7 linked regions of the Sus scrofa genome follow. The protein of the gene in region 1 interacts with the protein of each later gene in a pairwise test. Links are inferred from orthologs where the notes say so. Each region holds a gene or a part of one and is shown in the gene's direction. Other genes may lie near its edges.

Region 1 (3,500 bases):
GGTGTTGCCACAATCTTTGGTCCTAGGTTGCAGACATAGCTTGGATCTTGTGTTGCTGTGGCTGTGGCGTTAAGCTCAGTTAACAAAAGAGCATATTGATAAATTGGACTTTATCAAAATAAGCAATCTCTAATTTTGAGTTTTTGAAAAATAAAGAGAGACTGTAGCAAAATTGGGAATATAGGATTAAATGGATAGCTTTGGCTTCCTCAGTGAGTCATAGAAAATAGGTAGACCAGCTATTCAGTCATCCCTGTTCCTTCTCTTGTCATGATCTCAAGTTTGGTGTTGTTTCAGTTTCTTTTTATTTTTTTCCTTTTTTGGCTGCCTGAAGCACACAGAGTTCCTGGGCCAGGGATCAGATCCCAGCCACAGTTGCAGCCTTAGCTGCAAAGCCAGATCCTCGTGCTGGGCCGGTAATTGAACCTGTGTCCCAGGGCTCCAGAGACACTGCTGAGCTGATCCCGATGTGCTACAGTAGGAATTCCTTTCCAGTTTCTTAGCAGTGTCCAAGTCTCACATCTTTTTTTTTTTTTTTTTTTTTTTTTTTTTTTTTTTTAAACATAAAAGTGATTTTATTTGCAGGGGAGAGGGACTCTAGTCGAACATGCTAAACCCCATGTTATGGTCTGACTCCCTCACATCTTTTAAATTCTATTTTTTCCTGCCATAAATTGTGTTCATTTTGAACTTCTCCAGTGTTGCGATTATCTCCTTAGGACCCAGTCTTCTAGCCACCAAGTTTGCTGTGTTAGGGAGCTAGACCCTTTTCTCTTGGCAGATCCTGATGTCCTTTAGGTGTTCCAGGGCAGCCTCACACTGTCTCATGGGATATTCTTAGCTTTGCTGAATGTTGTTGGTATTTTAATTGAACTCTGGCAAGCTGCTCAGCACAGCAGGAGGCAGACAGATATGGAGGCCCCTGTGGGAGCCATAGGAGTCCACTAGTTTCCAGGCTGTTGTGATGTAGGTGATGTTTCTCCCTTCTACTTAATTTCTCTCTCAACTTACTGGATTTTGCCACATCTTTTTTCGTGGAATATTATTTCTTTTTTTGCAACTTCAACATTCACATTCCTTCCCCAATACAGCTTTTTTGTCCCTGCTTTTAGATTGCTTGTGTCCCAGTCTAAAATTCCAAAAGTGTCTGTTCCCTTCATAGCTGAGGTTGTGGTAAATTGTCATTTTCTTTTTCTTTTTTTTCATTGTTCTCAAATCCATTCTAGGGCTTTGTGAAGGATGTCCATGAAGACTCTGTCACCATCTTCTTTGAAAACAAGTAAGACCTTGGGAATAGAGAATCCAGTAGGTCCTAGAAGGAGAGTGGAGAAGCGGGGGCGGCTGAATCCCATGAGGCATGTAATAGGTGGGGGAGAGCCAAGGGTTTGGGTGGGCAACTTCTCTGGATCACAGGAGAGGAAAGGGCCGAAATGTGAGGATCGGGGGGCATTTGACTCAGTATTTAGGTTCTCGCAAGAGATGAGAGACACCATTATGGAGGAGGGCCTGGGGTTTAGCGCCTAATCACCAGGGAGGGTAGAAAATGCACAGTGGAGGAAGTAGCCTCTTCCTGAAGAAATGGACAAGTGCAGAGCCTGAATAGCTTTCGTATCACCGTTTCCCTTGCAGCTGGCAGAGTGAGAGACAGATTCCTTTTGGGGACGTCCGGCTACCACCGCCAGCTGACTATAATAAGGAGATTACAGAAGGGGATGAGGTGGAGGTAAGGACCATGGCGTCCTCCCTTGCTAAATGTCGCTTTTCCCAGGATTCTGCATCTCCCTTATCCTGATGCCGGTATCCTGGCCCCGCCACTGTGGCTCACTCTCCTTCCTTCCTAAGCTAAGCTGCTTCATTGAGCTGGGCAGCCTGTGGGAGAGTGAAATGCAGCAGTTCTCTGTCCGTCACTGTGTGATGCAGCCAAGCTCTCAGGGAGCTTCCCAGTTTCAGGGGATTCAGTTCTCTCTGTATAACAACAGCATCTAAAGTCCAGAGCCCTCTGATTTTAATTAGCAGCTCCTTCCTCTGGTTTCCTTTATCTTAGTTTAGGATGCCTCTCACGTGTCTTAATGTTTACTCCATTCTTGATGTTTTTGGATGGTCCTCAATTCTCTTTTATTTTGAACTTCTCTTCTCTTCAGGTTTATTCTCGAGCCAATGAGCAAGAACCTTGCGGCTGGTGGCTGGCCCGAGTGCGGATGATGAAGGGAGATGTGAGTGGTTGTGAAGGTCTTTGCAGAGCTACCAAACCCATTTTAGGGGAAGAAAGGTGGGAGATGGAGACTCAGGTCATCCATAGTTTCTTTCTCTTCTTCCTCCTGCCAGTTCTATGTCATTGAATATGCTGCCTGTGATGCCACTTACAATGAGATTGTCACCCTGGAACGGCTTCGGCCAGTTAATCCCAATCCCCTTGCAACCAAAGGCAGCTTCTTCAAGGTGACCATGGCTGTGCCTGAGGATCTGAGAGAGGCGTGAGTGTTGGGGATGTTGGGAGTGGGGGCCTCTTTATGGTCCTCATCGCTGCCCTTGTTTCTCCCAGGCGCTGCTTCCAGTTTCAGTGTTCTTTGTTGTTCCCGTGGCCCTCTAGAGCCCTTTTTGCTCCCAGTTCCCCTGCTTCCTCATCCCTGTTCTTTTACTCAAGTCCCTCTTATTTTTCTCAGTCCCCTCTTTCTCTCTCCCCTGAACCTTCAACTCTGCACTCTGCCCTCTGAGCACTGTCCTCTTTCCCTGCAGCTGCTCCAATGAAAATGTCCATAAAGAGTTCAAGAAAGCATTGGGAGCCAACTGTATCTTTCTCAACATCACAAATAGTGAGCTCTTCATTCTGGTGAGTTTATTCTGCCTGAATTTCACCTAAGCCCACTCCCCTTTTAATCCTTTGCAAGAAGGAAGAGCTAAAATGTGCTTATATTTATTTGGCAGAGAGGACTGTATAGCTCCAGACCCTTGTGGGCTCGGGTTAGCCTATGTTTCCTTAGTCTTTCTCACGTGTGACCTTAGTTTTTTTCCTACCTGACCATCGTATTACAGTCTGGGCTAGGGACCCTCTCTTGCATATTTGGACTCTCAAAAACATGTGATTCTCACCTGTGTTTGCTACTTAAAATCCTTCCCTTAGGCGCCCATGTAGTAGGTCCTTGTGAGACTGACACGATTTGTTTCTTAACATCCATTCTTTTTCAGAGACTCAGGCATCCTGATTCCCAGTTCCTGGCTCTCTTCCAATGTGCATTCAGTCCATTTTAATGGCCTTTCCATTGTCTTCTTTCCAGTCAACCACAGAAGCTCCTGTGAAACGGGCATCCCTGCTGGGGGATATGCATTTCCGAAGCCTGCGCACCAAACTGCTGCTCATGTCCCGCAATGAGGAAGCTACCAAGCACCTAGAGGTAAGTTTTAAGCCCTTTTTACTGCTGGGTGGTGGTGTTCTCCTCCCTCCCACCCCATTCTCCACCCATGCCCCTGTGTTTGCAGAACAGAGATTAAGGTCTTTCTGG
Region 2 (4,125 bases), on another chromosome or scaffold:
AGAATAAGAGGTGGGAAAGAGACTTTTCACTACCTTCATTTTTACATTAAAATCTTTTCGGAATTATTTAATTTTGAACTATTTTGTACTCAACACGTTAAAAAAAAGAAGTGTACTTGAGAGTTCTGGTGTGGTGGTGGAGTCACCAAGAAGCCCTTGCCCCTTTCTTAGACACCCTAGGGAGTAATAGAAACCAGATGGTGCAAATGGAAGGAGGGTTCTTTGTGGGTTTCTGTGGTCAAAGGGGCTGTGCTAAAGGAAGACTGAAGGAGAAACTGGAGTCAGATAAATGGAGAGAGGTCTGGAATTGATGGGAGCGTAGCATGTTCAGGGGAGGGTTTAGAAAAGGCAAGGAGACAAGTCTAAGGCCTGGAGACGGTTGGGGATTGTTTGTGGAAGGACTTAAAATGCCAAGCTATAGACTTTGGGATTCATCCTGCTTAACGTTTTCTGCACACTAATTCACTGCTCAGAACCATCCTAAGCCTTTCCATGAAATTCTCACAGTAAACCAATGGAAAGGTGCTATTATTCTATTTTGCGGCTGAGCAAACTGCAGACATTTCGAACAAGGGAATGACATAAGGAAATTCGTTTAAGTTGTGTGTATATTCAATAATAGCTCAAAGAAATTAGGTGGCAAGAATGTGTACAAATAGGGCCAGTGCAGAATCTCGACGTCGTGATTATTCACGTTAGCCTCCCTCCGCGGACTGAACTCCATTATCACAAAAGACTGCCTGGTGTCTCCCTCTATGTCCTCATTTCTGCAGGCCCCGGGCTGGAGTAGGGGAGGAGTAGGAGCCGACAAACAGCCATCAGTCGCACCAAAAAAACTGGCAGTGAGCTTGCTAAAACAATGAAATTTATAGACGCAGTCTCCATTATCCACCCACTTCTGACCAGATTGCTGGCCGTGAAGATTTCCTACGCAGAAACTACTCAGATGCTATTGAAAGTAGGCTTCAGAGGCAGCCTTTTATTTCTGGCTATTTCAAAGCCCATATAATTGTGGCCCTCTATTGCCCATGGGGCTCCGCAACTGGGCCTTTCCCATTCTTTCACCGCACGTGATGCACGGCCTCCTTTCCTCTCGCCCTGGCAACACACAAAAACAAATCCGGCTTTAAAAACCTCAGGCAGTCCCCGGGTGGGGGTGGGGAAGAGCAGCAGGGGGTGGGGGATGGGAAAAGGCCAACGCCCCTCCCCCATCCCGTGGCGCCTCAACTGCCTTGGAACTACCACTCCCGGCGTGCCCTGGGGCGGCTCGGTCGCAGGGGCGCGTGCGCGGCAGGCAACCGTTGGCTAGGGCGGCGGCTGCGCGGGTCGCTGTGCTGTGAGGTCTGCGGGCGCTGGCAAATCGGGCCCAGGATGTAGAGTTGGCGGTGCCTGACGGCGCGTCTGACGCGAAGTTGGGTGGGGTAGAGAGTAGGGGGCGGTAGTCGGGGGTGGTGGGAGAAGGAGGAGGAGGCGGCGGCGAATCACTTATAAATGGCGCCGAAGCAGGACCCGAAGCCTAAATTCCAGGAGGGTGAGTCTGAGCCCGTGGGAAAAAAGGCATCTAACGGCGCAGGGGATGGAGGCGGGCTCGGGGTAGTTGAAGCTTGTGGGCCGGGGGTGGTAAGGGCTGCGCTCGGATCAGGCGGCTGGCAAGGCTTTGTGCAGGGAAAGCGCATTGCGGCAGGATATTTCGGTGCGTCACGAGGAGAAAGCACCTTGTGAAGCGGAAGCATTATGCAGGCGTTGGGGTAGGAGAGGGATCCGCTGCTGCGTGGCAAAGCCATAGTGCAGTGTTTGTTGTTGTGAAGCGAGCGCGGAGAAAGTAGCCTATTGTAGGGAGGCGATGGGTGCGCCATGGCGGCCGTTAGGGGAAGTGATGTGGCATGGGGGAGGGGAGGGAGCGGCAGTGGTTTCGGGCGCCGGCGCGGGGCCCCCAGGCGGCGTGGGCGGTCAACAGCTGGCACTCCCGGGAGGCCTCGAGCTCCGAGGTGGTCGTACTCGGTGGAGCCGCCGGGCTGCTGCAGTGGGGTGGGCTTCGCGCCTTGGGGCGGGAGAACTGCGTTGTAAAATGGCCGCTGCAAGATGGCCGCCCCATCATGGCCGCCGGCGCCTCGGTCCCCGGCTCCCGGCCGCAGACGCTGCTTTAGGGCAGATGCAGCGCCCCCTTCTTCCACCGCCACGGTACGCGAACTGGTTCTCCGGCGCTTTCCGCAGGGAGGTGGGTGGGGACAGGAGAAGGAGAAGAGAAAAACCGCGGGCGTCTGGGTCGGCTTTGTGTTCCTTGAAGGCATCCCTTTGCTTTATAAGTCCTATTGGCTTGTAGTCGTCTTTTAAATACTGCAGCTGCTTGACTCATTGCAGTAACGTTTGATTAACAGTGATTGGAAAGGTTTTTTTTGTTTTTGATGGACGTGTCTTGGTTGACGGTAGAACCTGACTTCCAGTGGAAGACGGCTCTTTAATATTTATATTTAACATTTCTGTTAATTTATATTGAGGTGGAGACAGCTAAAATGGAAGTAAAATTCTGTAAGGCATGCAAGAACACTTCAGATTTCCCTTCCATTACTATAGGTGTATGTGGTAGTTACCATAGATATCGAGGTGTAGGCAAAAATATTGTTGTAGGGATTTTCAAACATTAATGGACGTTACAATTACTTTTAGAATCATATGCACAAAACCCAAGTATATTATAGCTTTATGGAATATTTAAGGTTTTTCCAAGGGCGTTTCTGTTATAACTGACTCTCAATACCTGCTTTCTCACCACCTTGAAAAGCTGTATGACTTTATGGATTGCTTTTTTAAAAAACATGTTTTCTAGCTGCGAATTTTTTTTACCTTTACTTAAAATTACTAAAGTGTGGTTGATTACAGTGTTGTGCCAATTCCTGATGTACAGCAAAGTAGCCCAATTATATATATATATATATATATATATACACACACACACACACCCTTTTTTATATTATCTTCCATCATGGTCCATCCCAAGAGAGTGCCAGTAGTTCTCTGTGTTATACAGTAGGGTCTCGTTGCTTATCCATTCTGAATGTAGTAGTTTGCATCTACTAATCTCCAACTCCCAGTCCATTCCACTCCTTTTCTTCTCCGCTTTAGCAACCACAAGTCTGTTCTCGGTCTGCAGCAGGGATTGTTAATCTAGGGTCAGTGTTTATAATTCAGATGATCCGTAAAGTTGGATGGGAAAAAGTTGTTTTTCTATTGTTTAACTAAAATTTAGTATTTCAGTTATGAATGTAGGACTCCCTCCCAAAAAAAAAAGCAAAATGAAAAACTTATAGTATTAGCTATATGTTTTCACATCCCAGCATTACAGTTGTGGGAGATACATTAAGATGTTTGCTGTTCATTACTTCAGAATTGTAGTTATTGAATCAGCAGCTAAATGTTTACATTAAGGACTCTTAATATTGCCATAGAATGTGGTATTTTAAATGTTTTGATAACTATTTCAATACAGTTGAACAATTTTGTAATACTGTTTTACATATTTAGAGAAAAATTCTGGGGAAGGGCTTCTAGGCTTAACAGACTTGTGAAAGGTCCATGGAAGAAAAAAATTAATCCCCACTGTTGGATATCAAAGCAGAAATCACCCATATTTGGGACAGTTAAGGATGGCATTCTGGAGGAAGTGCTTTAGAGAGAGGGGGGCTAACAGTGAAGGAGAATCCATGTCCTGCTATAGTGATGAATTAGGGAAGAGTAGGAACCAAGTATCTAACGTTTTGAAAGCTACCTAAGAGACTCTGCACTTAACCATCACTTTCCAAACATGTTTTCTACTCTCATCAAAGTTGAGTTGTATAGTTATCTTTAAGAAATTATGATTAGTTATTTATAACAAATTTTCAGAGAATATCTTGTAAGGAAAAAGGAATGTTCTTTTAGAACTAAGAATTATACCGAGACACAGAAAGTATGAATTATCAGAAATAATGAAGTATGAATTATTACAATTCCTTTAAACTTGAAAGTTTTTCTTAGTGAAGGCACAACAAATGTTACAAAAGCAGTTTTTAAGCAGAGTGATGTTTTGGTACTGGATTTGCTCATTCACTTGAAATGTTAAAGCTTAAGGTAAAGAATACTATTGGG
Region 3 (4,106 bases), about 33 Mb from region 1:
AGCACAGAGTGCCTCACTCCTGGTTTCCACCCTGAGCTCTGCTTAGTGGGTTCTGCAGGTCAGCAGCTGCCATGGCTCATGGTTTAATCCACGTAGAGGCAGATGGCAAGTAACCGTAAATGCGAAACTCCAGTTCACAAGATTTAACTTACATAAGTGACTCACATTATATTTCTAGCCTCTGAGACACTGCTGTCCCAGAGCCTACTCCGATTTGTTGTGCGAAATAACCAATGCTATAAGACAGATGAATGGGTGAATTAAGACAGACAGCCTGGGGAGTTCCCACTGTGTGCAACTGGTTAAGTATCTGGCCTTGTTACTACAGAGGCTCCATTCCCTGCGGTCTCCAGGGTTCAATCCCAGGCCCAGGAACTTCCACCTGCCTCCGGTGGGTGGGGGGCGGGGCTGGGCGACAAAAAGTCGGGTAGGGGGGAATACAGTCTCCGCCTTCCACGAGGAAAATGGATACAGCATTGCCCTAGAAGTTAGGAGATGTGAGTTCTGGACTTGGATATACTGTAAACACTGTGTAGCCTAGGACAAGCACCGCCAGACTACAGGCATCAATTTGTCCATACATCTGGCACTTGATCTCTGAGGTCTAGGAGTAAGCGGCTAAATGGCAGAGAAAGGCGGGGAAGCCTGGTACAACAGGACTTGTTTCCTATCAGGCTCCAACCTAACATGAGAGCTTGGACCAAGAGGAGGAGACAGCAGGAATCAGAGACTAGACGCCCCGAACCCAGCGCGGGTACCACCGGCTTCCTCGGGCCGACGTCACCGGGGCGCGACGGCGTCTTCTGTCGGGTCCCCCACTCCAGGCAGCAGCGCCTCCGACGGTCCCTTCGGTGAAGGTGAGTGCCGGAATAACAGAGAGGCAAACGGTCCTCGAGTCTCTCTGAGACTCCGATCTCACTCCACCACCCTCTGCTGCCCTCCCTTTTACTTCACCCTTATCGGGCACAGGAGCCGAGAGATAGGAGCAGAGCTACCATCGTTCAGAGCCGAACCTCAGCGCGGCTGCGCAGGGCACGTGCACATCCTCTCGGAGTCCCGGCGATTGGCTGTGACGTAACTTCCGGTGTGAGCGGCGAAAGCCGGGAGGGCGAGCGAGAGAGAGCAGGCAGCAGGCAGCAGGCGGGCGGACGGACGGCACGAAGGGAGGGAGCAAGTGAGCAGTGAGTGGGCCAGCGAGAGCGGCCGCGTCCCGAGAGCAGCCGAGATTCCTCCCGTCCCTCTGACCCTCTCCCCGGAGCCCACAGCGCCTCCGGTCTCCAGCGGAGCGGACACGGCCCGGCCCGGCCATGGCCTCGTTGCTGAAGGTGGATCAGGAAGTAAAGCTCAAGGTAGGGGTACGGTCCGGGCTTCCTTACTCCTTGCTTCGATCCTCGAGCTGTCTGACTGGCTCCCTACTCCCCATGGCGTCTTTGTCTCCCTGGGGACACCAGCCCTGAGCTTCCGCTCGGCTCAGCCCAGCCCCCCACTCCCAGAGATGGCATCGGGGGAGACGCTACTATGGGGTGGCCTTCTGTACCCTGTCTAATGGTGGAGAGCCCCGGGGAGACTTCCGCGGACACGTGGTGGACTTAGTGCTTTAGGCCAGTGACAGCTGGAAGTCCCCCCAGCCCAGCAACGTCCCCATCTCTGGGCGCTGCTACTGCCCCTGCCCTTGGCGTCAGGCCTGCCTCACATCCTAGGCCAGGTTTGTATGGGGGTTGACATGTTTGTGAGCTCACGCCTCTCCCATCTACCTGTCTTTTGTCTGCTTTCAAATTCAGACAAGCTACAGACAAAGGGAGGGAGGGAGGGAAGACAGGTGGGTGCTGCCCTCCAGCCCCGCTTCCCTCTCCTGAGATGGAGAAATGGATCCTTAAAAAAATAAAGTATTTGCAGTCTGGGGGCCTCTCAGCTTCTCATTACAATTACAAGGTGAGGGAAAGACAGTTGGATTTGGGTTTCCCCATCCTGCCCATACTTCTCTTGCCAGGTACTGACTTGCTCTTACTGAATTGCTTTCTTTGTTAATTTTAGGTTGATTCTTTCAGGGAGCGGATTACAAGTGAGGTGAGTGAAAGAAGTAGAAAATCGAGCATTGGTTAATGGTTGGGAGTTCTCCAGAGAAGAGATGTCTGTAGAGACAGACCTTCCCTCAGTTACTAATTCAGCTATATTTTCCCTCATCTTTAGGCAGAAGACTTGGTGGCAAATTTTTTCCCAAAGAAATTGTTAGAACTTGATAGTTTTTTGAAGGTGAGAGACCCTTTTCTTTTCCTCAGAGTCCCCAGTTTTTTTGGCCCTGGTCTTTCTGTCAAATGGGACAAATGACGTGTTGATTCTATCTTGTTTTGTGCTGTAAAGCCGTCTTCATATGTTGCCCTTGAAATGAAATACTTCTTTGTTCATTTTGAAAAGACTGATGTTTTGGGGGTGGGCGTCTCTTTTCAGGAGCCAATCCTAAACATCCATGACCTAACTCAGATCCACTCAGACATGAATCTCCCAGTCCCTGACCCCATTCTTCTCACCAATAGCCATGATGGACTGGACGGTGTAAGTATCCTGTATTTATCTCTGTGTGTGTGCCGAAGCAGTAGGCGCTCTGTCCTCAAGTCTCTGGTCAGCTTGAACGTGTACAGGGGTACAGGGGACAGTGGGATTTGGATCTGGGAATGAGGATTCTTTTTTTTTTTTTTTTGGCTTTTTGCTATTGCTTTGGGCCGCTCCCGCGGCATATGGAGGTTCCCAGGCTAGGGGTTGAATCAGAGCTGTAGCCACCGGCCTACACCAGAGCCACAGCAACGCGAGATCCAAGCCGCGTCTGCAGCCTACACCACAGCTCATGGCAACGCCGGATCGTTAACCCACTGAGCAAGGGCAGGGATCGAACCCGCAACCTCATGGTTCCTAGTCGGATTCGTTAACCACTGCGCCACGACGGGAACTCCCGGAATGAGGATTCTTACAGACATATGACTTTGGTACACCCCCTTCGGTCCCCGGTTTTCATTTGTAGCATGTGTTAATGGGTACTCTGTTAGAGTGAGTTGAAAATAGGGCTAATAGTGACAAGGTCCCTCAGGTTACCTGGTCTGTCACCATGGCTCTAGGCAAGACTTTTCATCCCTGTTTCAGTGTCTTGAGTCTTGTTATGGGAGGGGGCAATTGTTCTTGCTATATAACTGCAGTTCCCCGTCTTTCTGTATCTTTAGCAACTAGTCTTTAGAATATGTCCACATTCTGTTATAACAATGATGACCCCATATTGTTATTTATCTGCTATATATATTGTTATTTATCCGTCGGTGTCTCATGGGTAGAACTTGCACTTTTGGAAAGGAGAAACTATCTGAATTATCTTTGTATCCCCAGCACCTAGCATTGTTCCTTGCAAGTGCTAAATACATGTTTGTTGATTGAATATTCTTTGTGGAACAAGCACATTTGTTTATAATCCCCTTAGTTATACTCACTCTGCATTCAGTAGTTCATTCTTTCTGTTGTTCATAGTATCCACCCCTCCCCTGGTTGCCTAATGTGTTATATTTCTTGAAAAGTTGGTCTTTCCAACTATAGTGTAAGTTGCTTTGTGGGAAGAACCTTTTCTTAAAGCTTTGTGTGTGCTTAGTGAATTGTGGGTAAATTAATAAGACAACCTGTGAAGTCAAGGTAGGGATTAAACTTGCTAGAAGGGTAACTTGCAGTGGGGATGTGAGTGTCGAATAGGCTGATTCTTGTCTCTTTGTATCCTTAGCCCACTTACAAGAAGCGAAGGTTGGATGAATGTGAAGAGGCCTTCCAAGGTAAGAGCCACCTTCACTGTCCCCTACCCCAACCCTTCCTGGCTTGCAGCCCTGAGAAGCAGGATGGATCTGGTGCTCTCCTGTCCAGCAAGCAGGATCTGATTTTATTTCCTAGCATTAGCATTCCTAAGCTCTCCAGACATTGTCTAGTACTCTAAACCTAATTTTCCTTTCCTCTTTTTTTGTCTTTATAGGGCTGCACTCACGGCATATGGAGGTTCCCGGGCTAGGGGTCTGATCAGAGCTGTTGCTGCTGGCCTACACCACAGTCACAGCAATGCCAGGTCTGAGCCGCATCTTCGA
Region 4 (4,266 bases), on another chromosome or scaffold:
TTGCAGCTGCAATCTGTTAGGCCTTCCAATTGACTGCTGCCTTTCTGTAAAACCTGAAGGGGCAATTTCCAGCCTTTTTAAGGCAGCTGACCTGGCCCAGGCCTGGAGCTCCTGGGGTTTGATTATAGGAATTTGGCTGTCAGGCTCTTTCCCATAAACCTGAGTTCCAGTCATGGTAGATGGTGGGGACTGGAATTTGGCTGTCAGGCTCTTTCTTATATACCTGAAGTTCAGTCATAGTATATGGTGGGGAAGGTGTTCTGGGCCTGACCCAGTAGGTAGGAGCCAACAGCCTGTGGGAGATGAACCTCCCCCACTCCTGACCCCTTCTGGTCCACTCACCATTCTGTGCGGCTGCACAGGGACATCCTCCCACCCCAATCCATCCCAGCAATGTGTGGCTATGCACTTCCAGGCCCTGCTGACCTCCTCATCTTTGCTCAAGAACGCCCTTAAGCAGTGAGGCAGGTGAGGGAGAGCAAGGTGAAAGACCTCACCCCCCCCCCCCATTATCAGATGAACTCACTGAGCAACCTGCAGGAGGGCCATGTCTTGTGAGAGGACCAGTACTGAAGGGATACAGATAACATGTGTGGCACCGTGTAAATTCCTCAGTACATTCATCTTATGGTTTCAGTTCAGTAGGAGTTGGCCAATGGAGTGGCACTCCTCTCTGCTCATTAGGACCTCTTATGACTGAATCTATTCTGGTCTGCAGTGATGACAAACCGAACACCCTTGCCCAACAACTAGCTTACTATAGATACTGAGCAGCAAAGACCAAAACTGTTGAATGAGGATCGTCTGCCAGTGAACACCTTGAGGGTGACTGAGGCATTTTCTGTGCTCTTTGAGGTATGAGTGCAATGAGGTGTGCTTCCATACTTTTTTGGGAGCCACACAGCTGGTATCCCCAAGGGTGGAGAACAGGCCAGTGCAGGTGCAACCTGACCTTGGTGGCTCCCGGTTTATAAGGTAGGGAAGCTATAGTAGGGAAACAGTTTCAGACATAGTCTCCCCCAGTGCCTACCCCTCTCCCCAGCACAGGGCCAGAAACAGCACACACTAGCAACGATGACTCGGGGGTGTCACCCACACAACGTGACTCGAATTTATTTTTTAGGGCCGGACCCACAGCATACGGAAGTTCCCAGGCTAGGCGTCTAGCAGGAGCTGCAGCTGCCGGGTCTATGCCACAGCCACAGCCTCACCCACACCAGATCCGAGCCGGTTCTGCGAGCAGCTCATGGCCACACCGGATCCTTAACCCACAGATCCGGTCCAAGGATCAAACCCATGGCCTCATGGATACTAGTCCCTTTCATTACCTGTGACCCACGACAGTGGCTTCCAATAATGCGGCGGTATCTGCCGCAGCCTCCGACTTTGGCCAGGGCCACAGCAGTGCGCAGGCGTTAGAGGCAGGCGGGGGCGGTGCAAGCGCGCATGACGTCACTGCGTGCGACGCGGGGTGGAAACGGGGGCCGGTGGGGCCTGGGTAGCGGGAAGCCGGCACCATGTTCGGCTCCAGCCGGGGTGGAGTGCGCGGTGGGCAGGATCAGTTTAGCTGGGAGGATGTGAAGACTGACAAACAGAGGGAGAACTACCTGGGTGAGCGGGGTGCCGGGACCCAGGGTGGCGGCGGGGGTGTCTCTCGGGCTGGAGGTACGCCAACCTGCAGCGCCGTACCGAGGACTCGGCGCTCGGTATCCCGCAGGCAACTCGCTGATGGCCCCGGTGGGCCGCTGGCAGAAGGGCCGTGACCTCACCTGGTACGCCAAGGGCCGGGCGCACGGCGCGGGGTTGAGCCGGGAACAGGAGCTGGAGGCCGTGAGGCAGGCGGAGCAGGAAGCGCTTATGGCAGCGTTGTGAGTGAGCCTCGGGAGCTTGGGGGCGGGGGGGAATTACCTCCTGGTTGGGGGTAGGGCGGAGACCGGGGCTGGGCGGGGGCGGGGGCGCGGGCCGAGGAGAGGCCCGCCACTCTCTGAAGCTCACGCGCGGCCCCCGCAGAGGCTACAAGAACGTAAGGAAGCAGCCCACGGGCCTGAGCAAGGAGGTGAGAGGTGGGCCCTCTTGGAGGACGGGGGCGGGATGGGGCGGGGGGGCAGACCCCACGCTGTGGTGAGCGCTTGCACTCCCCCCCACCCACAGGACTTTGTCGAAGTCTGTAAGCGGGAAGGAAGTGACCCCGAGAAGGGAGTGGACCGGCTCCTGGGCCTGGGCAGCTCCAGGTGCGGGGCTGGGGAGGTGGTCCTCGGGGACCCCAGAAATCGCGAGGGTGCAATTCCCCGGGGTTCGGCGCTGTCAGCCGCCCAGGTGGAAGCCGTTATGGGTCGTCTGAACTCATCACTTCTCTAGGGAGGCCTACGGGTGGGGATGGGGTGGTCCTCGCTGTCGGGAGAGGGTGTCTCACTGTGGGGGGGGGTCCCCACCCGCGTCCCCGCAGTGGCTCTGCAGGGCGAGTGGCGCTGTCACGGGAAGACAAAGAGGCCGCTAAACTGGGGCTTTCGGTGTTCACGGTAATTCCTCCCGACATCCTGGTTATCCCATGTTGGGGTGGGGGTGGGGATGAGTGTCCCTTCCTGTTGAAAGCCGTGGGGCAAATCGTCTCCCCTCGAAGGGACCCTACTGGCTTTCTGGATGGTTCTCAGGCCCGCACACCCCCAGAGTGGCTTTTCTTGGCAGCACCACCGCGTGGAGAGCAGTCGGCCAGGGGTCTCCCTGGCTTCGGCCAAGAGGAAGCCTCGGTCAGAGGAGAAGGTGGAGCCAGGGTAAGGGCTGGATAAGTGGACCCTACCCGTGCTACTAGGACACAGAACTCGGTTCGCTCTGCATGTTGTTTGCTCCACCAGACAGTAAAATTCCTAGCTCCAGCCTTTTTTTGGGGGGGAGCCGCTGGAGGTTGTGAGCCCTGGGGCGGTTCCACTTGCCCCCTGACTCCTCAGTGGGATCAGGGGCCCAAGAGAATGTTCAGACATGAGTCACTTTCCGGGGTCTGGGGCGGGTGGGGTGGTGAACCACTTCCCCTTCCCGTTGCTTTAGCTGCCCAGCGAGGGGTGTGAGTGGCACAGGAGGGGATCACAATTTGGCCCCAAGAGTGCAGGGTGGAGTGGGAGTGGGGAAAATCGCAGTGGGAGGGTTGGAAAGGGGCCATGAGATCGTCAGATTTTCTGCCACGATTGGAATGCAAGTAAGGGTCTGTGCCCCCGACCGTGGTAGTTGCTGGCTACAGGTGGTACTGAGGAGTTGCCCTTAGTGACTTCAGGTTGAAATGGCTACACATGGTTAGTGGCTACTGCAGCAGCCCCATCCCTGGCTAGATTCCAAAGCCCCAGAGGCACTGGCACTTTGTGTCCCCTTGCAGCCCTGAGAGCCACAGGAAGAGCAAGAAAGAGAAGAAAAAGAAGAAAAAACACAAGAAAGAGAAGAGAAAGAAAGAAAAGGAGCATGGGAGGGGGTCACATTCCTCACTGTCCCCTTCTTCCATCCAGTAGGTGCAGCTGCCTGGGGGTAAAGAGGCGGGGAGTACTGGGCAGGCAGGGGCCCTCAAGCCAGGTGTCCCCCGGTCTCCCTAGGCATGATCCCAACTCCTCGCCTTGTTGCAAGAGGAAGCGCCGGCAGGACAGCAACTGAGATCCAGAGATCTGAAGGGCTAGCCTATGGGGATCACCCCAGGCCTCGAAAGAGGCTTAACTGTGGCCTACTACGGCTGCTTTTATTTTTCTTTGTATTGACTCACTCTTTGTACGTAAATAAACTTATTTTAAGTGGAAAGTGTTTCATACTAAAGGGAAGGTTGCTATCATATGTCATAATAGAAAGTGATGTGTGGGAGTTCCCGTCGTGGCGCAGTGGTTAACAAATCCAACTAGGAACCATGAGGTTGCGGGTTCGGTCCCTGCCCTTGCTCAGTGGGTTAACGATCTGGCGTTGCCGTGAGCTGTGGTGTAGGTTGCAGATGCGGTTTGGATCCCGCGTTGCTGTGGCTCTGGCTTAGGCCAGTGGCTACAACTCCGGATTCGACCCCTAGCCTGGGAACCTCCATATGCTGCAGGAGCGGCCCAAAGAGATAGCAAAAAAAAAAAAAGACAAAAAAAAAAAAAAAAAAGTGATGTGTGAAGATGTGATCTCTTGGGTTCTAGCAAGGCTACCTGTGATCCCACTGGGAAGGGCACTGTCCTTTTGGTGGTCAGCATCTCGGAGTCTCATATTGACCAAGAGCCCTGGGTCATGTGTGGCCAGAAGGAGGCCACACGGGTCAAAGGG
Region 5 (4,029 bases), on another chromosome or scaffold:
AGCACTTCACATGGATCATTCAACCCAACCTTAACCCATGAGTGTGGAACCAGGATGATCTTCACTGTCCAATGAAGACAGGGAGTTGATGAAATCAACACAGGCTGGATTTTGACCTCTGACCCAAGAAATCCAGTTCTTTTAGTTGTAACTACTCCGTCTTTTAAAAATTCTCAGAGTTCCCATCATGGCTCAGTGGTAACAAACCCAACAAGTATCCATGGGGACGCGTATTTGATCCTTGGCCTTGCTCAGTGGGTTAAGTGTCTGGCGTTGCTGTGAGCTGTGGTGTAGGTCACAGATGTGCCTCGGATCCCGCCTTGCTGTGGCTGTGGTGTGGGCCAGCAGCTGCAGCTCTGATTCGACCCCTAGCCTGGGAACCTCCACATGCCACGGGTGTGGCCCTAAAATGACAATAAATAAATAAATAAAAATTAAAAATTAAAATCCCTCATTCCCCTCAATAAAACTGGAATAAAAAAAGATTAAAAAAAAAAAAAAACAACTCACCCCTTTACTTTCCCCTACTTCCCTTTACCCTCTCCATAGCAGGGGCATCCTTGAGGTCCTAATCCTAACCCATCCATCCTTAGGAGCCCAGAGTTGTGGGGGAGCTTTGCTCCCCATCTTAGATAACCCCCTTCAGCAACCATGGCCCCCTCACTAGCCTTTGAAGAAGGATGGAATGGATTCCTACAAATATTCTACAGTCTCACTATTCAAATGTGGTCCATGAGTTCCCTGGTGGCTCAGGATCCCCCACTGTCACTGCTGTGCTAGGGTTGCTGCTGTGGCTAGGGTTCGATCCTTAGCCAGAAAACGTAGCATGTCCCCACCCACCCCACTCCCTGCCTGCCACAAAAAAAAAAAAAGAGCCAGTGAATGGGTCTCACCCCAGATCTGATAAATCAGAACATCTGAGTGTTTAATCACGGTTTTTTTTAATATCCTTAGAGTCAGAATGACAGCCCTACACAGTCCCCACTGTACAGAGACTGCTCGGGGTAGTACACGACGTCTTCTGCCTTTACACTCCCCCGACACCCTGACTCCTGACAGCTCACTTTCTCTGACCTCGCACGTCCTACCTTTGAAACTACAACTCCCACAATGCCCCCGAGGCACCCACGTCGCTTTACGCGACTACATCTCCCAAGGTGCTCCTCGAGCCATGCAGCCACCAGGGCGCCTACTCTCCCCGACATCGTCAGGACTACAACTCCCATAATACTCCGTGACAAACCTACCGCCCCCAGCGGCGCCGGAACGGCGCCACGTCCCCTCCGGCCACTTCGAGTGAGGCCGGTTTCGGGCGGGGCCCGTGGGGTGTGGAGGGCCCCAGCCTCGTTACAGCGGTTCTTCCCCTCACAACACAGACATGGCGGCCGAGAAGGACCAGCAGAAGGATGCCGAGGCGGAAGGGCTGAGCGCCACGTAAGCAAGTCTAATCTAGCCCCCCTGACCTAGACCCGAGAGTCATGGCTTCTCGCCCCTCATCCCTGGGGAGTTAGGAATCCGGACTCCTGGCCCCGGCTCAATCCCTTCCTCCCCTGGAATCCAGGAGTCCTGGACCATATCTCCCCCGCCCCCCAGAACCCCGGAGTCCCGCTCCCCTCGGCCCCCTTCTTGCTCGGGGGTCCGGGCTCCAACCCGGTCTACCGCTGACCTGGTCCCGCACCCCCCAGGACCCTGCTGCCGAAACTGATTCCCTCTGGCGCGGGCCGTGAGTGGCTGGAGCGGCGCCGTGCTACCATCCGCCCCTGGGGCTCCTTCGTGGACCAGCGGCGTTTTTCGCGTCCCCGCAACCTGGGCGAGCTTTGCCAGCGCCTCGTACGCAACGTGGAATACTACCAAAGCAACTATGTGTTTGTGTTCCTGGGCCTCATCCTGTACTGCGTGTGAGTGTCTCTCTGGCCAGAACAGCCCCCCTCAGCCAGGCCCCGCCCCCGCCAGGCTGCCATGTCTGCACTGGCCAGGCCCTGTCCCCATGGGATAGCTCTGTGGGATCTTTACCCCAGAGGACCAGGTCCCTACTCCATCAGCCTGGCTGGGATGCAGGGGGACCAAACATGACCTAGACTTGCGTGGTCCTAAGGACGTCCCCAGGTGTAGAAGGTCAGGGCCTTCGTGTCTGACGCAGCCCCAGCGGCCTGACTGTGCCTCCCTGCCCTCCTCCAGGGTAACATCGCCCATGCTGCTGGTAGCTCTGGCTGTCTTCTTTGGCGCCTGTTACATCCTCTATCTGCGCACGTTGCAGTCCAAGTTTGTGCTGTTTGGTGAGAAATCTGCCCAAACTCCTCTGATCCTGGCTCTTTGAATCCAAGCCTTAGACCTCAAACCTGAGTCCTTTTGAACCCAAGTCTGCCCAATCCTAGACCTACAGTAGATTCCCCATACCCACACCTGATGCTCCTATCCACTCTCAGTCCCCCCAAATTGCTGTTTCCCAAACCCAGAAGATATCCAAGAACCACTCCACCTAGCCGCTGGCCTTTTAAACCTCCTCCTTCTCTCTCCCTCATCTGCCAAAAGCATCAGCTGCAAGTACCCACATTGGACGCCAGGTGGCGACTTTACTCTAGCCTAAATCTGTCCTCCCCCTTTCGTGCTTCCTGGGATGGGAGTAGAAAAATCTTGGGACTTCTCAGAGGGAAGCTGAGGCCTGTGGCTCATGTGGTCCTAGACTGGCACCAAGCACCACTGGGAAGAAAGAGGGCCTGAGTTCCCAACTAAGGGAAACTCAAGGTTTGGAGTGGAGATAAGGGGGAGTTGGAATCAAAGAAACAGGTAGACCTAAGACAGAATCCATCAGAAGCCTGCCAGTTATGTATCTGGTAAGGGTGGGCTGGGTGGAGGAGCATGTCAGGCGAGCACAGGGCACAGAGGGAGCGTCCAGAGCATAGTCACAACTTGTCTTCAGCCACTGCTGCCGCCAGGGTTTGCAAGTCTGACTTTCCAATCTGCCACAAGAAGCCAGATGTCTATACAGCCATCTCTCAGCTTTTCTAGGAGCCCCCAGATTTTGGATACCCAAATCCGAGGATGCTCAAGTTGCTGATGTAGCAATGATGTAGTACAGTGACCCACGGGTGCCCATCTGCGGATACAGAGGGCCGACTGTATTGCTGTGTGAAATCATTCTGTCTGTATGTCAGCAGCAAATCAACAAATCGTGGCTCAGCGGTTAACAAGCCTGACTAGGTTCCACGAGGATGCGGGTTCGACCCCTGGCCTCGCTCAGGGTGTTAAGGATCTGGTGTTGCCGTGAGCTGTGGTGTAGGTTGCAGACGTGTCTCGGATCTCGCGTTGTTGTGGCTGTGGATCTGATTCGACCCCTAGCCTGGAAACTTCCATGTGCTGTGGGTGCGGCCCTAAAAAGCAAAAAAATTATTGTGGAATAATATGCAAACTCAAAAAACATGTCTAGGTGTCAGCCTGGGCCTTTGGGATGCCAGTTGGAAAACCCAGGTCTATGCGAGGGCAGGTTGGAGCAGGAAAGCTGTAGTTTGGGGAGGGAGAGTCTGGGAGCTTCCTAGCAGAAGTAAAGTTGAAGGGTGGAGGGCGGTGGGGGGGATTACTGAGGAAGGTGCACTGTTTCAGGGGACAGTGGGTGGGGACGCTGGGGAAATGGCTGGGGCCGGACTTGGAGGGCCTTGGCATAAGGCATTTTGGGGGTTACTCTGGGAGAGGGGACAGGTGTGGAACAGCTGTCCCAATGCCATCTGCCCCCCCAGGCCGAGAGGTGAGCCCCGCCCATCAGTATGCCCTGGCCGGGGGCGTCTCCTTTCCCTTCTTCTGGCTGGCTGGCGCGGGATCCGCCGTCTTCTGGGTCCTAGGTGAGTGAGTACAGGGTCTCGGTGGCGCGGTGGGCAGTGGGGGCCGGGGAGGCAGCAGGCCCTGAGCTGCCCGTTTTCCCCCAGGAGCCACCCTCGTGGTCATCGGCTCCCACGCCGCCTTCCACCAGATAGAGGCTGTGGACGGGGAGGAGCTGCAGATGGAACCTGTGTGAGGTGTCTTCAAGGACATGTC
Region 6 (4,126 bases), on another chromosome or scaffold:
GGGCGATGGGGTCCTAAAGTGCCTGAGCCTTCCATCCCAGATCCCAGCAGCATGCGAAGGTGGTGCCATGGATGCGGAAGACAGAGTATATCTCCACGGAGTTCAATCGTTACGGCATTTCCAATGAGAAGCCTGAGGTCAAGTAAGCTGGTGGGTAGGGAGGGAAGGTGGAGATATCAGGTGCGTCTAGTGGTCCCTAAAGGCCTTTCTGTTCCTTCCTAGGATTGGGGTTTCTGTGAAGCAGCAGTTCACTGAGGAAGAAATATACAAAGACAGGGATAGCCAGATCACAGCTATTGAGAAGACTTTTGAGGATGCCCAGAAATCTGTAATTGAGGGACTGGGATGGGGGGAGGCAGTCAGCGGGGTGGCTTCAGAGTGCTGTGTACTCCTCATCCTGCTTTTGCCCCTATCAGATCTCCCAGCATTACAGCAAGCCTCGAGTGACACCAGTGGAGGTCATGCCTGTCTTTCCAGATTTTAAGGTCAGATCCAGGGCAGGAGGCAGAGAGGGATCGCCTGTGATCTCTGGCTGTCCCATTCTAATCCCAGTGCCCTCCATCCCCCAGATGTGGATCAACCCATGTGCTCAGGTGATCTTTGATTCAGACCCAGCCCCAAAGGACACGAGTGGTGCAGCTGCATTGGAGATGATGTCTCAGGCCATGATCAGGTAAGTGGTCCTGCTGCTCACCTTGGCCTGCTCCTTATTGGCCCCCTCCCCACCCACCCACCCCCATTCTTTTTTGGGGGGGGGCGACACGAAGAAGTTCCCTGGCCAGGGACTGAACCCACACCATAGTAGTGATCCAACCCACTGCAGTGACAATGCCAGATCCTTAGCTGCTGATACACCACAAGAGGATGCCCATCTTTGTCTTTGTTTTTAGCTGCTCCTCTTTTCCTCCCAACCAGGGGCATGATGGATGAGGAAGGGAACCAGTTTGTGGCTTACTTCCTGCCTGTGGAAGAAACCCTGAAGAAACGAAAACGGGACCAGGAGGAGGAGATGGATTATGCGCCAGATGATGTGTATGTGGGTTGGAGTTAGGTTTGGGGTGTTAAGGAGTAGGTCTCTTTTTCTCCTTCACAGGGAAGAAATGGCTGACCCTGTCCCCTTCATCCTTAGGTATGACTACAAGATTGCTCGCGAGTACAACTGGAATGTGAAGAACAAGGCCAGCAAGGGCTACGAGGAAAACTACTTCTTCATCTTCCGAGAGGGGGATGGGGTTTACTACAATGAATTGGAGACCAGGTACTTAGCACTGTCCTACCTCACTGAGATTATCTGGGCTTGTACTTCAGATTCAGGACCCTGGGGTATGCAAGTGCCACCTCGGAGGTCATTTGTACCTAAGGATTTGCCATGTGCATTTGTAAGAGCAGGAGCCTGATCACCCTTGCGGGCTAGACCTGGTTCTAACATAAGAACCCAGGAAGACATTTTTTTTTTTTAAAGGGCTGCACCTGAGGCATATGGAGGTTCCCAGGCTAGGGGTCTAATCAGAGCTGTAGCTGCCGGCCTGTGCCACAGCCACAGCAATGCCAGATCCAAGCTGAATCTGTGACCTATATACCACAGCTCATGGCAATGCTGGATCTTTAATCCACTGAGGCCAGGGATTGAACCCGCAACCTCATGGTTCCTAGTCAGATTTGTTTCCACTGCACCATGACAGGAACTCCAGGAAGAAAATCTTTACCTAACTAATACTGGAGATGTTTAGTGTTCACGTAGGGTAGACTGCCAAGTATCCCCTGATGTTAGTAAGAGACTTCACGTGGAAGTAAACATAGCCGAAGTATAGAGTAATGCATAAAATGAGCATGGCTATTTTAAATGAAACACTAGATATCCAAGTTCAACATGTGACCACCTAAAAGTTTTCCCTGATGGCGAAAACGGCTGTGGTGGGATCCTTGGTGTGTAAAGACTGGCAAGGAAAGTATGACCTTGAGTTTCTATTTAAAGCAGAGATCACAAATTTTGATCCCATTAAGCCAAGCAAGAAAGGTAGAAAGCACAGTAGGCTATCGGGGTCCAGATGACTTGGAGCTCCTGGCAGCCTCCAAGGGGCACCATGACACAGCCCACTGCTGCTATGCTGTGGGGAGGGGGTGCAGCAAGGGCCGAGTGGGGTCTTATTTTCCAAAAGCCAGAAATCCAAATTCTAAATGTTAATACCTAATTCACACTAAAATCTATTTATTCATACACTTACGTGTATATGTACAGGGCATACATACACACACATACACAGCGCAGGGCAACTACACTGCTATCTCGGGAGCTGTCATCCCTGTCCCCAAGTTTAGCCTCCCTTATGCAGTCTGTATTTATTCTGGGCCAAGCGTAAATGAGTAAGGATGGGTAAGGAAGAACCAAGTCAGTCCAGCTTCCCCACAGGGGTGAGTTCTTTAACCGAATCTCTTCCACATCCCTCTCCCCCAACTCCACCGTTGCAGGGTCCGCCTGAGTAAGCGCCGGGCCAAGGCTGGGGTTCAGTCTGGTACCAATGCCCTGCTTGTGGTCAAACATCGGGACATGAATGAGAAGGAGTTAGAAGCCCAGGTAACAAGCACCACGATCCAGGGCACCCACGGGGAGGGTGAAGGTTGGTGAGGAGAGAGAGGAGGTGTACAGAACACTCTCCTTCCCCTCACCCCTGCTGCTTCCAGGAGGCACGGAAGGCCCAGCTGGAGAACCACGAACCAGAGGAGGAAGAGGAGGAGGAAATGGAGACAGAAGAGAAAGAAGCTGGGGGCTCAGGTAAAGCTGGACCAGCCAAACTCTGGGAGCCCGGGGAGGGTCGAGAACTGGGTCTCACTTCTTCATGCTCCTTTCACAGATGAGGAACGAGAGAAGGGCAGCAGCAGTGAGAAGGAAGGCAGCGAGGATGAGCGCTCGGGCAGTGAGAGTGAACGAGAGGAGGGTGACAGAGATGAGGCCAGTGACAAGAGCGGCAGCGGCGAGGATGAAAGCAGTGAGGATGAGGCCCGGGCTGCCAGGGACAAAGAAGAGATCTTCGGCAGTGATGCTGATTCAGAGGATGACGCTGACTCTGACGATGAGGACAGAGGACGGGCCCGAGGCAGTGACAATGATTCGGACAGTGGCAGTGATGGGGGTGGCCAGCGGAGCCGGAGCCACAGCCGGAGCCGGAGTGCCAGTCCCTTCCCCAGTGGCAGCGAGCATTCTGCTCAGGAGGATGGCAGTGAAGCTGCAGCTTCGGATTCCAGTGAAGCTGACAGTGACAGTGACTGAGTCCCAGGGCCTTCAGGGCTGGAGCAGGTACAATTACTACGCGCAGGAAGGCACTTTTCAAGTGGTCTATTTGCAAGCTTTCTGCTTTGTTTCTCTCTCCTCCTCCAAACCTTTGCTGTTTAATAAAGCCACCTTCCTTTACTTCCCCTCCCAGGCACTACAGTCTCCTTCTGCCCCCTCCTCCCACCCCCACCCCCACAGGTGCTTAAGGCACAGAAGCAAAGGCCACAGAGGTAGGGCCACTAGGTTTTCCATGAAATGTAGCATAACAAAGGTCAGAATCCTTTTTGTTTGTTTGTTTTTTCTTTTTTTCCAAAATAAGCCCAGACCATTAAACAAGTGAAACTCCAACAAATAAGTTTTCTCCAACAGCGAGAAAAACTGTACAGTTACTCAAAGCTGATTCTGCCAGTGGGGCTAGGGATAAAAGGGAGGGTGAAATCATGGCAGAGGGGCCAGGGGCTGGGGAGGGATGGGAGTGGGTCAGGATCCTGCCCATCAGAGTGGGGCGCCTGCGTCCTGCACACTCTGTCAGGTGGTGGGGAGGGCAGCAGCTCTTGCCTCCCGCTGTGTTTGGGGGTGCCCCTCACCACCTCCCAGTGCCTGGCAGACCCAGCTCACTCTGATGGGTAGTGAACAGGACAGGACTGCTGGGAGGAGGTGAGGGTCTCTTAAGAGGGACACCCTGCTGATTCCAAACGAGGTGGCCCCTGTCCATCCCACTTCCCTGGGCTGGGAGGAGGACTGGGGAAGCCCTGGGAGTTGGAGGGGAATGAGCAAAGGCACAGAAACATGGAGGGGCCGGGGTGGGGGACTTGCATAGGTTGATGAGTGTGCAAGAGGTACATAAATAAACCT
Region 7 (4,150 bases), on another chromosome or scaffold:
GGTTCCTAGTCGGATTCGTTAGCCATTGCACCAAAACGGGAACTCCTCAAATGTCACTCTCTTTAGGGCAGCCTTCCTTGAACTCCTATCCCAGACTGGGTAAGGCACCCTTGGTATTCACCCATCATCCTTCTTAATTTCTTGTCTGCAGCCCTAGCCCCATTAAAATTTTTTTTCCTTAAGTAACATATGTACATTTGAAATGAATAAAGACCCAAGAGAAATCGCTGTAATTCCACCAGCAACTTGTTTTCCTATTTTAGTAAAGTTCCTTTAATTTTTTGTTGTAAAGCTTTTAGAAGTACAGCTTACAGTTGGACATTTGTGAATATCCTGAAAAGGGTCTTGGGTAGGTCCCCTACCCACGTGTTGAAGGGCCTGATTAAGAATCGTGGACCCTGGGGGCAGCAGATTGGGTCTGCCTAGCTCCAGTTCTGCCACCCACGAATTCGCACCCACTCAGTGCCAGGGACACTGCTGCAAGCCACACACAGTGCCCCAGCCACTCCACGTTCTCTGGCATCTGTCCTTCATGTTCCGCGCCTTCAGCTTCTCTCCAAGGACAACCCAGGGGGTGGCTCCCTGTAGAACCGCCTGAGCCTGAAGCTCCTGGGGCTTGATCGGCCATTTCAAAATGGCCTCACAGCATCCTTTTCAGATTCAAGCAGCTTCTTTCCTCCTTTTCTAACCCCCTTGGTCTCTGAGTTGTAAGCTACCGGCCGATTTTCTCAGAACCCTGGTGGCTCACGACTCCCTCGGGAAGGCAGTCTTTCGGGGAAACACGACCCGCCCAGCCTTTGTTGTAGCAACTGCACGAGGAGCCACGTACACTTTCGGCCAAAGCCGGACCGGGCCACCAGAGCTGGAGGAGGCCCGACCCCACCTGCTTTGGGCCCCTTCCTAGGTTTTGAGGAATTGAAAGAGGGCCCTTTCCCCGCCCGACCTCTGCCTCACTCCGGGCCCACGTTCACTCTCCGGGTTCCCTATTTGCATTACCAGGCACCTCGGAGTGTGGCAACTGCAGCTCTACCGCTCTGATTTTTAACATGACCTTGGCCATAAGTCTCGGGGTGCCCGCTTGGGCTCTTGCAAGAGCCTCGACGCCCCAGGGAAGGTTTCCCGTCGGTTGCAAAACCCAGGCTGTCAGAGCCCCGAGAGTCATAGAGTCACAGCCCCGAGCTGGACTTCCTGCCCTTGCTCAGGTCGTCTCTCTCATCCCACGAAACGCACCTCAAGGCGTCTGCGCGGGACGGGGTTCCAAGACTCCCAGGCTTCGCCACCCCACCCCTTCCCTCCCCTCCCCCACCATCCCAGTGCGCCTCCCCCCACCCCCGCCCGCACCCACCGGAAGGGGCGGGGCTCCGCGCGGCGGGCAGGCGGCGTGATTGGCCGCGGCGGGGCGGACGGCCGATGCCGATATAAGAGCCGGGCCAGCGCTACCTGCGCCACAGTCTTCGCGGAGAGTCGCTGCGGTTTCCTGCTTCAACAGTGCTTGGACGGAACCCGGCGCTCGTCACCCGCCCCGGCCGGCCGCTCAGAGCCAGCCCTCGCCACCTCTTCACAGCGCCCTCGGACCGCCCCAAGGCCACCGCCACCGCTCCCGCGCCGCTGCCGCCACCACCGCTCCTCAGCCTCCCGCCATGACGACCTCGTGCTCCTCGCAGGTGCGCCAGAACTACCACCAGGACTCGGAGGCGGCCATCAACCGCCAGATCAACCTGGAGCTCTATGCCTCCTACGTCTACCTGTCCATGGTAAGCGCAGGCTTGGCCGGCGGGGGGCGGGCTCGGCCTCGGAGGCGGCGGGGCGGGGTGTGGCTAGCGGGCGGGGCCTCCCGCCTCCCGCCTCTGCGCGGTTCTGGAAAATGGAGGCTGCTCCGGGTCCCCCAGGACTTCGCAGAAATTCCGAGGAGTCGGCCCTTTCCGACTGACCCCTGGGAGTGCCCCTTTGTAGGCCGACTGCCTCTGCCCGCCCACCCCCCTCCCCCCTCCCCCTTTTTTTTCCTTGCCGCGCTTGCTGCCAGTACCATCCTGCAGTTAGGAAGGTGGATTTTCGCATTTCCATTCCGTCCTCTGCATCCGATCACGTGATCCTGGGCGGAGGCGAAGAGGTCCTGCTCCCATCCCCCAGAATACGGCGGAGCCTGCTGGGTAATGGTGTCGAATAGCAGCCCTGGGGGCTGGTGTGAAGTGCTTTATCTCCAGTGGGCTGACCACCCGAACAGCCGTCTCCACCCGTTTGCTCTGCTTATCGCCAAGTCCCACTTGAATTGAAGCACATCTCTAGAAATCTCTCCTTCCGCCACAGTTGTCTTAGTCACCCGTCCTTGCGCCTGACTACCTCCTCCTTTATTCTTTTTGTCTAAAGGTTGGGGCCTAATCGAACCCTTCGTTCTTGGATAAAGTCCATCCACAGTTACAGGGCCGGCATTTTTTCCATAGAGGGGTCAGTTTTCCAAATTCCTGGTTTTAGGCGGTGTGGTAGGAGTTGTAGAATTGTCTGACCATTACGTAAACCATCCAAGAATAGGCAGGTACCAGATGGGTTTGGAACTGGCCTGGATTTCTATGACTGCCCTTCCATTTCAGGAACACCCAGCAAGGGTCTAAAAGAACCCAGTTTTGCTTTCTACTGTTATGCCTTTATATACATTGTTGCCCACAGCCGTCTACTTCCCTAGTGGGGTACTTTTAGAAATGCATCGGTCTGGCTGTAAGCTGGCAAGTTCATGTTTTAACATGGATTAATCAAGGAGGGAGAAGGAGGAAGCACTAATAGTGCGGAGTAAATACTCCACTTTCCTCTCTTCGACCAGATGTGACACTGGCTGTAAGAATTTAACTTTGGAGTTCCTGCTGTGGCGCGATGGGGTTGGCGGTGTGTCTGGAGCGTTGGGACTTAGGTTCCATCCCTGGCCTGGCACAGTGGTTTTAGGGATCCAGCACTGCCACAACTCTCATGAGGGTCACAGCTGTGGCTCCCATCTGATCTCTGGCCCGGGAACTTCCTCAGACCAGAGGCGGCCAAAAAAGAAAAAAGAACTTTGCTCTAACACAGATCCTGAGGATGTTCCATGGTGGTGGCAAGTCCTGTGATATTCTAAATGCTCCTTGTGAACATTTTTCATTTTTGCCCTTAGGAGTGAGAACTAATGACTGTTTAGTTCGATGCAGCAACGCAGCCTGCTCTGATCTCCTTAGACCCAGACCCCTTCTTGCTGGGCTTTGAGAAAGGAAGCCTAGGCTCACAGACTCCTGTTTTCACTTTTCAGTCATACTATTTTGACCGCGATGATGTGGCTTTGAAGAACTTTGCCAAATACTTTCTTCATCAATCTCATGAGGAGAGGGAACATGCTGAGAAACTGATGAAGCTGCAGAACCAACGAGGTGGCCGAATCTTCCTTCAGGATATCAAGGTGAACAAAAGATTCCAGGGTTGTCGTGCCTGATGTGTCTGGCGCTCCTCAGGTGGCAGAAGGCACAGACCTGAGCAGTTGCTCTTATCAAGACGCAGATACGTTGGGCTTGTGGCTTGTGGCTTTTGTGCTGTTGTGGGCCTATCGTCTAAAGTGGGCAGATGGTAACGGGCAAGGATAGTAAAATAGAAACTGTTGTCGGGGAAGCTTGGATATTCCTTTCGCCAAGCACAGTGCTTACACGTTAGGTGCTTGCTGACTTGGGTTTAAAGGTAGAGGCTGCAGGTGCATTGACTTGGCTCCTTCTCGTTCAGAAACCGGAGCGCGATGACTGGGAGAATGGGCTGACTGCCATGGAATGTGCGCTGCACTTGGAAAAAAACGTGAATCAGTCCCTGCTGGAACTGCACAAACTGGCCACTGACAAAAATGACCCCCACGTGAGTATTGAGGCAACCTGGGAGGAGGAGGAGGAAGTCATTTACCTCGGGGCCTGGGAAGGCTCGCCAGTAACTCTCTTCCCCGTTGTCTTTTCCAGTTGTGTGACTTCATTGAGACGCATTACCTGGATGAGCAGGTGAAAGCCATCAAAGAATTGGGTGACCACATTACCAACTTGCACAGGATGGGGGCCCCCGAGTATGGCATGGCCGAGTATCTCTTTGACAAGCACACCCTGGGGAGCAGTGAGAGCTAAGCCCTAAGCTGGCCTCCCGGAGACACGGGGTGACC

What was found.
Region 2: the proteins of FXR2 (region 1) and MORF4L1 interact in binary tests that used the Homo sapiens proteins (3 or more experiments, as listed by UniProt). The two-hybrid records come from large-scale screens. The link is inferred for Sus scrofa from reciprocal best matches to the Homo sapiens genes FXR2 and MORF4L1.
Region 3: the proteins of FXR2 (region 1) and PSME3 interact in a two-hybrid assay, tested with the Homo sapiens proteins (2 studies listed by BioGRID and IntAct). The link is inferred for Sus scrofa from reciprocal best matches to the Homo sapiens genes FXR2 and PSME3.
Region 4: the proteins of FXR2 (region 1) and C2H1orf35 interact in binary tests that used the Homo sapiens proteins (3 or more experiments, as listed by UniProt). The two-hybrid records come from large-scale screens. The link is inferred for Sus scrofa from reciprocal best matches to the Homo sapiens genes FXR2 and C1orf35.
Region 5: the proteins of FXR2 (region 1) and RABAC1 interact in binary tests that used the Homo sapiens proteins (3 or more experiments, as listed by UniProt). The two-hybrid records come from large-scale screens. The link is inferred for Sus scrofa from reciprocal best matches to the Homo sapiens genes FXR2 and RABAC1.
Region 6: the proteins of FXR2 (region 1) and PAF1 interact in binary tests that used the Homo sapiens proteins (3 or more experiments, as listed by UniProt). The two-hybrid records come from large-scale screens. The link is inferred for Sus scrofa from reciprocal best matches to the Homo sapiens genes FXR2 and PAF1.
Region 7: the proteins of FXR2 (region 1) and FTH1 interact in binary tests that used the Homo sapiens proteins (3 or more experiments, as listed by UniProt). The link is inferred for Sus scrofa from reciprocal best matches to the Homo sapiens genes FXR2 and FTH1.

Annotation. Positions count from the first base shown.
Region 1 is NC_010454.4:52,893,258-52,896,757, reverse strand, and holds part of FXR2 (fragile X mental retardation syndrome-related protein 2), read left to right. Parts: intron 1-1,226; 5' UTR 1,227-1,279; intron 1,280-1,629; 5' UTR 1,630-1,723; intron 1,724-2,141; 5' UTR 2,142-2,198; coding exon 2,199-2,213; intron 2,214-2,325; coding exon 2,326-2,474; intron 2,475-2,736; coding exon 2,737-2,830; intron 2,831-3,275; coding exon 3,276-3,392; intron 3,393-3,500. UniProt on the Homo sapiens protein: mRNA-binding protein that acts as a regulator of mRNAs translation and/or stability, and which is required for adult hippocampal neurogenesis. Specifically binds to AU-rich elements (AREs) in the 3'-UTR of target mRNAs.
Region 2 is NC_010449.5:48,048,786-48,052,910, forward strand, and holds the start of MORF4L1 (mortality factor 4-like protein 1), read left to right. Parts: upstream 1-1,325; 5' UTR 1,326-1,491; coding exon 1,492-1,531; intron 1,532-4,125. UniProt on the Homo sapiens protein: Component of the NuA4 histone acetyltransferase (HAT) complex which is involved in transcriptional activation of select genes principally by acetylation of nucleosomal histones H4 and H2A.
Region 3 is NC_010454.4:20,032,547-20,036,652, reverse strand, and holds the start of PSME3 (proteasome activator complex subunit 3), read left to right. Parts: upstream 1-1,306; 5' UTR 1,307-1,307; coding exon 1,308-1,349; intron 1,350-1,842; exon of another isoform or gene 1,843-1,857; coding exon of another isoform or gene 1,858-1,932; intron 1,933-2,034; coding exon 2,035-2,067; intron 2,068-2,190; coding exon 2,191-2,253; intron 2,254-2,448; coding exon 2,449-2,553; intron 2,554-3,754; coding exon 3,755-3,803; intron 3,804-4,106. UniProt on the Homo sapiens protein: Subunit of the 11S REG-gamma (also called PA28-gamma) proteasome regulator, a doughnut-shaped homoheptamer which associates with the proteasome. 11S REG-gamma activates the trypsin-like catalytic subunit of the proteasome but inhibits the chymotrypsin-like and postglutamyl-preferring (PGPH) subunits.
Region 4 is NC_010444.4:51,238,526-51,242,791, reverse strand, and holds C2H1orf35 (multiple myeloma tumor-associated protein 2), read left to right. Parts: upstream 1-1,466; 5' UTR 1,467-1,517; coding exon 1,518-1,611; intron 1,612-1,717; coding exon 1,718-1,868; intron 1,869-2,010; coding exon 2,011-2,056; intron 2,057-2,151; coding exon 2,152-2,231; intron 2,232-2,446; coding exon 2,447-2,519; intron 2,520-2,620; coding exon of another isoform or gene 2,621-2,685; coding exon 2,686-2,771; intron 2,772-3,364; coding exon 3,365-3,490; intron 3,491-3,575; coding exon 3,576-3,633; downstream 3,634-4,266.
Region 5 is NC_010448.4:49,932,210-49,936,238, forward strand, and holds the start of RABAC1 (prenylated Rab acceptor protein 1), read left to right. Parts: upstream 1-1,229; 5' UTR 1,230-1,378; coding exon 1,379-1,434; intron 1,435-1,685; coding exon 1,686-1,898; intron 1,899-2,178; coding exon 2,179-2,276; intron 2,277-3,734; coding exon 3,735-3,836; intron 3,837-3,920; coding exon 3,921-4,009; 3' UTR 4,010-4,029. UniProt on the Homo sapiens protein: General Rab protein regulator required for vesicle formation from the Golgi complex. May control vesicle docking and fusion by mediating the action of Rab GTPases to the SNARE complexes.
Region 6 is NC_010448.4:48,045,987-48,050,112, reverse strand, and holds the end of PAF1 (RNA polymerase II-associated factor 1 homolog), read left to right. Parts: intron 1-40; coding exon 41-142; intron 143-222; coding exon 223-328; intron 329-416; coding exon 417-673; intron 674-915; coding exon 916-1,032; intron 1,033-1,129; coding exon 1,130-1,258; intron 1,259-2,469; coding exon 2,470-2,575; intron 2,576-2,682; coding exon 2,683-2,773; intron 2,774-2,852; coding exon 2,853-3,268; 3' UTR 3,269-3,626; downstream 3,627-4,126. UniProt on the Homo sapiens protein: Component of the PAF1 complex (PAF1C) which has multiple functions during transcription by RNA polymerase II and is implicated in regulation of development and maintenance of embryonic stem cell pluripotency.
Region 7 is NC_010444.4:9,533,701-9,537,850, forward strand, and holds the start of FTH1 (ferritin heavy chain), read left to right. Parts: upstream 1-1,350; 5' UTR 1,351-1,640; coding exon 1,641-1,754; intron 1,755-3,271; coding exon 3,272-3,418; intron 3,419-3,732; coding exon 3,733-3,858; intron 3,859-3,956; coding exon 3,957-4,115; 3' UTR 4,116-4,150. UniProt on the Homo sapiens protein: Stores iron in a soluble, non-toxic, readily available form. Important for iron homeostasis. Has ferroxidase activity. Iron is taken up in the ferrous form and deposited as ferric hydroxides after oxidation. Also plays a role in delivery of iron to cells.